2 linked regions of the Coturnix japonica genome follow. The protein of the gene in region 2 purifies or fractionates together with the protein of the main gene of each other region. This does not show direct contact. Links are inferred from orthologs where the notes say so. Each region holds a gene or a part of one and is shown on either strand. Other genes may lie near its edges. The genes, in order: TNNC2 and DCAF6.

Region 1 (4,029 bases), on a different chromosome or scaffold from region 2:
AGCCTGGGTAGCCACACACACCCCTCGTGCCCCGCAGCCTGAAGCAGCCCCTCTCCCCGGTGCCATCCTGTGCCACAGGGACTCAGCTGCTCAGTGGCTCTGTGGGGCAGGGATGGGTTCTGAGCTGGGGTCCTGCTCAGTGCCTGTCCTGTTGCTCCCGCAGGCACTGGGTGTTCCCTGTGAGCCCCGGCCCAGGGCACGTCCCAATCTTGGCACGCTTGTGGCTGTGCTCCTCCCCAGCTCCAGAGGCTGCACGGAGACACGGGTCCCCAGGGAGAGCTGGCACCAACCAGGCTGGCTTTTCAGCATTGCCTTAATCCCTGTGCAGAGGTGTGGCTGCTGTCTTGAGGTTTGGAGGGTTGGGAAGCAGTCCCCAACTTTTCGTGTCAGGATACCCCATCCTTTCAATCAGAAACCTAAGCAGTGCTTGGCCCCCTTCTCTCCCCCTTCCAAAATCCAGTGTGGTCACACATCCTGTGATGTGAGCAGGAGCAGCCTCCCAGTGCTGCCTTCTGGGACCCTGGGAGGAACAGGGCTGTGCTCCCTGCTGCTGCTGTCGTGGGAAGCGAGTGCTCCTGATGGAAACTCTGAGCTCAGCGCTGCCTGGCGCCCACCCAGCAGCCCATGGGAACCACTGCTCACACACTCACAGGTCAGCCCGGCTGGTACAGGGTATGGCACGGCATTGCACACACCCCCGTGTCCCCCTCCATGGGGTACAGTGCCACAGACCCCCCAGGCACTCCCATACTGGCAGCTCAGCCTTTCCCCCTTTTAATGAGGTTCATCCATAAACCACATCTGTCAGAGTCAAGGAAAAGCTCAGCCGCCAGCCGAGTGGCACGAGCTGCTGCAGGGCTCCAGCGGGTGGCAGCGAGGCCAGGCTCTGCGGCGGGGCCAGTCCTGGGCGGAGGAGCAGGGCTGGCTGCTGCAGGCGGCCCAAGGAATGTCTGATCCCTTACTGCACTCCCTCCATCATCTTCAGGAACTCTGCAAGAGAGCGGCGTTATCAGACCCAGCTGTGCCACACACGCAGCCCAAAGGGGCTGAGCAAGCTGCAGGGTGAGGTCCTGCCGCTCACCATCGAAGTCAATGCGACCATCATTGTTCTTGTCTGAATCCTTCATGAGATCTTCTATTTCCTCCTCGGTGACGTGCTCCCCGGTGGCCCTGAGAATCTCACCCAGCTCTTCGATGTCGATGAATCCATCAGCGTTCCTGTGGGAGAGGAAGGGCAGGATACGGCCCCGCTCACCACCACGGACGGGTGTCACCAGGCGCTGCCCCACTCACTTGTCAAAGATGCGGAAGCAGTTGGCCAGCTCCTCCTCTGACTTGCCCTTGGCGTCCTCTTTCATCTGGCGCACCATCATCACCAGGAACTCCTCGAAGTCGATGGTGCCGCTGCCTGTGGGGAGGGACCGTGATGTGGGTCAGGCTGAGCACTCCAGACACCCACCACCCCCATGGAGCCCACTCACCATCCTCGTCCACCTCCTCGATGATGGCGTCCAGCTCCTCCTTGGTGGGGTTTTGGCCCAGCATCCTCATCACTGTGCCCAACTCCTTGGTGCTGATGTCCCCACCACCGTCCGCATCAAACATATCGAAGGCAGCTTTGAACTCTGCAGGGAAGAGTGGTCAGTGCTGGGACACGGGCATTGGGACGGGCTCTGTGTTGGGATGGGGCCCTGTCCCCTCCCTGCTCACCAGCAATCATCTCTTCGCTGAGGAAGGCGCGGGCCTCCGCCTGCTGGTCTGTCTGTAAGGCACAGGGAGAAGGGGTCAGCTCCCACCCCATGCTGTGTGTCAGCACAGCCCCTGCCCAGGGTCAGCAGCGTATGGGGCTCTGCAGCAGCGTCTGGCACAGTGCAAAGCCTCAGCCTCCCTGGTGCAGCTGCAAAGCCTTCGTCCAGCTCAGCCCTGCAGCACGTGGCTGTTCCCTGAGTGACCCAAGGCCCCGGGCAGCCATGCAGCTCAACTGCCCTGAGCCCCATGCAGCCGCCCCCCGGTGGTCCATGACGCAGAGGCCGCCATGCTGCCTTGGCATCCCAAGCACCCGACACTATTTTTGGACTCTCCTCGACTCCCCTTATAGGGAGCAGAGCTCAGCGGGCACCTGTTTGCCCTGGATCGAGTTTCTCCTGGAGGCGCGGGCTGTCTGGGGCCGCAGAGGTGTCGCATGACCCAGCGCTCGGCTTTCAGCGCCTTCACACAGCCCAGCTCCAGCTCTGATCGCCCCATGCACCCATTAATTACCCCCAGCCAGCCGCACACTCCCTCTTTGGGGCACATCTTATAGGGGTACACATCCCATAGGGGGACATACGCCATGGGGAACGTATCCCACTGCCCCTACATCCATGCTACCTCCTGCCATAGCCAGCCTGAAGGGATCATCCCTCTGCCATCGCCCCATAGAGGTGCCTGGCAGCCCCACACCGCGGTGCCCAACACCTCCGGCCCAACCACAGCTCAACCCAGCACCACTGGAGCTCTTACCATTGACGCCATCTTTGCTGCTCTCTTCCTGCAGGGAGTCAGCACCTCCTGCACCAGCAGCCCCCGCACACTCCCTGGCTCCCCAATTTGTAGTGTCCCCGTGCCCCCAGCCGTTGGCCCCCAGCCCCAGCAGCCTATCAGCTCCCTGGTGGAAATCCGGCCCCGCTCATTGGCAACGGGCTCATTTTACCTAATTTAGCCAAAGCGTTATTGGCCAAGAGCAGGGGATTAAACGTGGGTCTGAAGCCGGGATAGAAATTCAAGCCCTGCAGGGAGGGACGCAGCATCTTGGCAGGAGTGCGGCTCCTTCATCTACACCTCCTTGTTCCAGGACAGCTCAGCATGGAGGGGGTTAAAAATAGCCCCAAAGAGCAGCATCCCCAACACCAGGACTGGGCTTCCCCCATGCCAGGCATTAGGGACAGGGCTGGGTAGTGCTGCCTGAACCTCTGCTAACCCAGGTGCCGCGGCTTGGGACAAGCAGGCAGCACTGGGGCCACGTCCCATCCCTTACCCCACAGCACCCCAGTTACTCTGGCTGTGCCCAAACCATCAGTCCCTCCTTTCACTCCTTTCTGTCCTAGAGAGGTCAAGGCGAAGCTGCAGCCCTCAGACCATCACTGTGAGCTGCAGGTGGGTGAGGAGCGTGGCCCTGCAGTGGGTCCTGGCACTGCTGTGGGTTCCCACTCTGCTGGCAGCCACTACCAGAAATGGCACGGCTGCTCCGTGACTTGGGGAGTGGGAACGATGCCCGTGGCCTCCTCAAAGGCTGCGGCTCTGCCAGGTCCGTGGCCCTGGGTCTGGCTGGCCAAGTGGCCCACAGCCTGCAGCTCTCCAAAAGGGTTTTGTGGCTGCAGAAGGGCTGTCGGTCCCTCGGGACCCTCTGCTGGGGCAGCTCTGCTGGCACCCCATGGATGGGGCAGCACAGCACAGCAAGGAGCAAGGACAGAGTGATGGCAGCAGCTGGACCATTCCTCGATATTAATAGACATTCCCAAGAAAGCAGCGAGGACAGAGCGGGGATGGTGCTAAATAAGGGCGGTGAGTGCCAGGCAGCGGCCATGGCTGCAGCCCAGGAGCAGGAGCGTGTGGCGAGGCTGGGGATGGCAGGGTGCCGGCTGAGGGTGCCGGGTGCCGGGATGTGGCGGTGTTGGGGCGCTGCGCTGTTGGGGTACCGAGGTGTCAGGGTGCCGGGGCACCGGAGGTTGGGGACCATCATGGAGCGGTGCCCGGGGATCGGTCACGGGCTGTGCGTGCACAGACGGAGCCGGACCGCGCCGAGCCGCGCTGCGCCGTGCCGGGACGTGACAGCCCCGCCGCGATCCGGGTTCCCAGCGGAGGCGGAGCCGCGCAGGGAGGATCCCGGGACGAGCAGCGGCGGAGCGGCCATCGCTCGGCACCGCCCGGAGCGGCCCGGCACAGCGCGGTACGGTACGGAGAGCAGCGCCCACAGCGGCAGCGGGGCTGAGCGGGGGGAGCGGGGTTGAGGGTGGGCGCGGGTCGGGGGGGCCGGAGGGAGCCGGCCGG
Region 2 (3,810 bases):
AAAAAAATATAATAAAGCATGGCAAACTACATAACTGGTAATTCCCTCAACCAATGCCACTTCTCAGCACAGCACAAACTGCACAGCTGAGCGTGGCATTACAAAAAAATTAACATAATTCCTTCCTCTCAAAGCTCTATCCAAAGATTCCATTTGTCAATGGCTGAAATGGAGTGCTTGAATCTAATTCAAATCAACTATTCCCTTGAGCACATCAGGCACTATTCTATCAAACAACACACAGTAAAGGTACAGAAGGTTTGTCACGACAAAAGAAAAATCTAACCGGTATCTATACTGGAGAAGTCCTTTTTTCAAGTTTTACTTTCTCCCTGGAAGATTTACTTGATACGACAGGGAAATGACAACGAGAAGAATGCTGCAGAACATTAACTGATGAAAAAAAAACCCAAGCTCAGATAGAAAGTAACTTTGAGTAAAAAGCAAAGGAGTAACTAATTTTGAAGGGAAACACTTCATATGAAGAGATATACAAAGAAGTCTGTGGGATTATGGAAGCACAATGTGAGCAGAATGCTGCCCTCGATTTACATCAGCCTGACTGAAGAAACTTTTTATGTGTGTGTTTGCAATTGAGACAGTTCTTAAAATCAGTACAGAACAGCAGTTCCCTGTTAGGTTAAAAATAAACACACTTAAGACCTGACAGTCACTTAAAACACACACACAGTTATTTGGAGCATTGCTGTACTAACAAAAACTGATAAAAACAAAAGAAACAAACATTCCTTCCCCCTCTAGACAATCCCTACCCCACAAGAGCAAACAGGTTACCATCTCTCTCCCGTTCACTCTCAGGCCTTGCTCTTGGGCCAGTATCTGACCAATCTCCTCTTAGCCGCAAACGTTTAACAGGAGGTTGCCGTAACTAGGAAAAAAAAAGAAAGAAGAAAGCTATCATAAAGTCATTTATACTGAGCAATACAAAGTTTCAAGTTTAAAAAGAAATGCTACATTCCCATTTTCTTAGGGTACAAAAACTTGTCACGCACAAAAAAACTGCACCCGCCATATGTTCAGATCAACTATGAATAAGCACAACACTGTATCAAAAGGCAGCAATAATTTTAGCTCAACAGAATTTTTTTTAATTGAAATATTTTTTCGTGTGACAAGTAGTACAAGAAGAATAGTATCCAGTTAGTGCTACTTCTGCTAACCTGAAAAAAAACAGCCAGAGTTCTGTACATTCAAAAAGGCATTTCATACTTGGAAATACAGCGTGTTGGTTGGCTGTTCATGGTTTACAAAAACAAAACCACGCAACAACATGTAACAACAATAGCAACCAGTTGTGCTGTCAATTTGAGATTTAAACGCAAAACTCCTGAAAGTAAATTGAAGTGTTAACATTCAGGAGCCAGCAGATTTGGGAAGAAAACTTCACATCCTTTCTACTCTGTGGAATTTAAAGCAAGACTGAAATAAAAATACCATTTAAGTGAAATTATCTGACAAAATGAATTTGTAGAATGTATTCCATGCATACAGAAGAACACTTAGGATCTGCTATTAATAAGTAGTCACAATCTTCCCTCTGCATAAAAGCAGGCAATAAATTCTCCACTGATTTACTTTACATTAGGTTGCAATTACACAGGAAAAAGTAAGATGAGAAACCACTTATTTATGGCACTGTTTTTCTGAGTTCTTCTTTGCTTTCCTCTGTCTCCATCAGGTAACAATTTAACTCAGCTGGACATTCTTCCTCAATCCTACAAATCACTATCCAAAACAATATTTGCAAAAAAAGAATCCATCACCCAGAGGGAATGGGCTTAGATAAAACATCCAATAGCATGGGCATGGCATGAGGGCAGACATGTGGCAAATGGTACATTCCACTTTCAACTATTAGTTTCTCTCTGCTTTAGTCCTCAACTCTACATCCTATCATAAAAACACTTTATCTGGTTTCATAAAAATCTGTTCAAACAATTGCATTTCATGATTTCACTGATATTTCAAAAGGCATTTTAGCTACGTTTTTCAAATCTCAGAATATATTTTGAATTTTATGTAATTCTATAAAGTTATGCTGTTTAATATGATTGAATGTTAAGGGTACAACAATAACCAAGACCAAGATCCTTGTCCATGGGTATTAAGTTAAAGAGCTCTGGGTCACAGACCCTATAACATAACTCTTCTTCCAGTAACTGCCAGAGTTTAAACTTCTCTATGACCTAGGAACTGCAAAGTTTCCCTCAAAATGTCTCAAATTCCCTACATTACTGGAATCCACAGGTAATCATGGTGAAAATGATGAATTATAAAATATACAAGACTAAAAAAACCTAAAAACCCAACATACCGTAGATAGTCTAAAACTATTTTAAGAACAGTGTTTGAGAATCACAAGATGGCTCAAGATTCAATTCAAGGGAAATACAAACTGGTAGGATTGCCCTGGGGGTGGGGAAGAGAAAACAAGAAAACAGGTCATCTTAATCACTTGCCTCTTCTCGTCTTTCCTCAGAGGAAGGAACTTTAAGTTCTCGTGCTGTATCATCCTTGGGATCAAACAAGTATATGTAATCTGATGAGTAGCTAACAAGGATCTCTTGACCATCTTCACTATAACATAGAGACGTTACACGGCAAGATTTGTTATTGAGATGAGGAGGAACAAAACGTGCCACCATTCCAATAGTGCCCCTACCAGCATAATTCCCTGTGTGAGAACGAGAAAGAATACATTCACTATTGCAAATTTTCTACAAGCAGTTTCAATATACTCCTTTGTTAACATCCAAAGATGATCAGAGATTAGCTAAGCAACCTACAGCTTTTGTACTGCATTGGTTCTGAATAGTGACAAATCAGATCTTACAGGGTGCAAACAAAAATAAAAAAATACTTATCAGAACATTACAGAGAAAGGTGAAAACATACAGACAACCATACTTATATATCAAATACCAATCACATGATGGGATATGGATACCATCTGTAAAGTTTAGTACAGATGAACATTTAGGAACAGAAGAACTTGTACGCAATAATAATGCAGTTACGCATCACCACACAAATTTGCAAGGAAGTCATTCTATAGAACTTTGAAAATTTAAGGACATCTTCTCTTTACATTCTAAATAAACTATAAAAACACCAGTTTTTCCTTATTTGACACATGATACTGTCACTTTGAGACTGAAGAACTGCTCAATACATTGGGTTTACATGACAACCAACCTCCATTCTACATGCTAAAACAGCCTTCAATTCCAGTATTACAAACTTGTAAGCATACAAAAATTACCTATAATACGACTTAACAGAGAAAAACAGACTCTTCCAAAAACCTATAATCTGCCACATAGCTTTCCTGCAAGGCACATCTGCTTTGGGTAAGCACATAGAAAAGCATGTCCTTGACAAGTTCAGAGTTTGCCATCTCACTGCATAAGGACTAGAGCTGAAAGTTGAGAATGAAAACCACCATTTTACTCACTAGCAGCTATCACAGAATACTTCATTCTTTGAAACAAATAACAAAAAATACAGTAGCAAAACACTATATCAATAAGTCCAGAAATACTATAGTCTTCAAAAGTTCGTCTTCTCCCTGCTTTTCCCTATAGACTTGCATACCTGAATTCATTTTCCTGTTGTACTGTAATAGGACGTGTACAAAAGAAAAAGCTGTGTTGTTTTTGTATTGTTTTGGTTGGGTATTGTTTTGTTTTTCAAGAAAACTTCAGGGAAAAACCAGAATCTTTTACTTTGTACCTTCCCAGAATCTGTTTCTCAGGTAGTTCTCAATAGCATCGCTTACAACTATAACAT

Evidence for each region.
Region 1: the proteins of DCAF6 (region 2) and TNNC2 purify together in Homo sapiens (affinity purification with mass spectrometry; 3 studies listed by BioGRID and IntAct, with this or other methods). This does not show direct contact. The link is inferred for Coturnix japonica from reciprocal best matches to the Homo sapiens genes DCAF6 and TNNC2.

Annotation. Positions count from the first base shown.
Region 1 is NC_029535.1:9,485,495-9,489,523, forward strand, and holds TNNC2 (troponin C, skeletal muscle), read right to left. Parts: upstream 2,608-4,029; 5' UTR 2,515-2,607; coding exon 2,503-2,514; intron 1,763-2,502; coding exon 1,711-1,762; intron 1,626-1,710; coding exon 1,482-1,625; intron 1,409-1,481; coding exon 1,294-1,408; intron 1,219-1,293; coding exon 1,082-1,218; intron 991-1,081; coding exon 959-990; 3' UTR 759-958; downstream 1-758. Other genes in the region: regulator of G-protein signaling 9-binding protein-like, read right to left, coding at 1-66. UniProt on the Homo sapiens protein: Troponin is the central regulatory protein of striated muscle contraction. Tn consists of three components: Tn-I which is the inhibitor of actomyosin ATPase, Tn-T which contains the binding site for tropomyosin and Tn-C.
Region 2 is NC_029516.1:82,031,246-82,035,055, forward strand, and holds part of DCAF6 (DDB1- and CUL4-associated factor 6), read right to left. Parts: intron 2,696-3,810; coding exon 2,481-2,695; intron 890-2,480; coding exon 796-889; intron 1-795. UniProt on the Homo sapiens protein: Ligand-dependent coactivator of nuclear receptors. Enhance transcriptional activity of the nuclear receptors NR3C1 and AR. May function as a substrate receptor for CUL4-DDB1 E3 ubiquitin-protein ligase complex.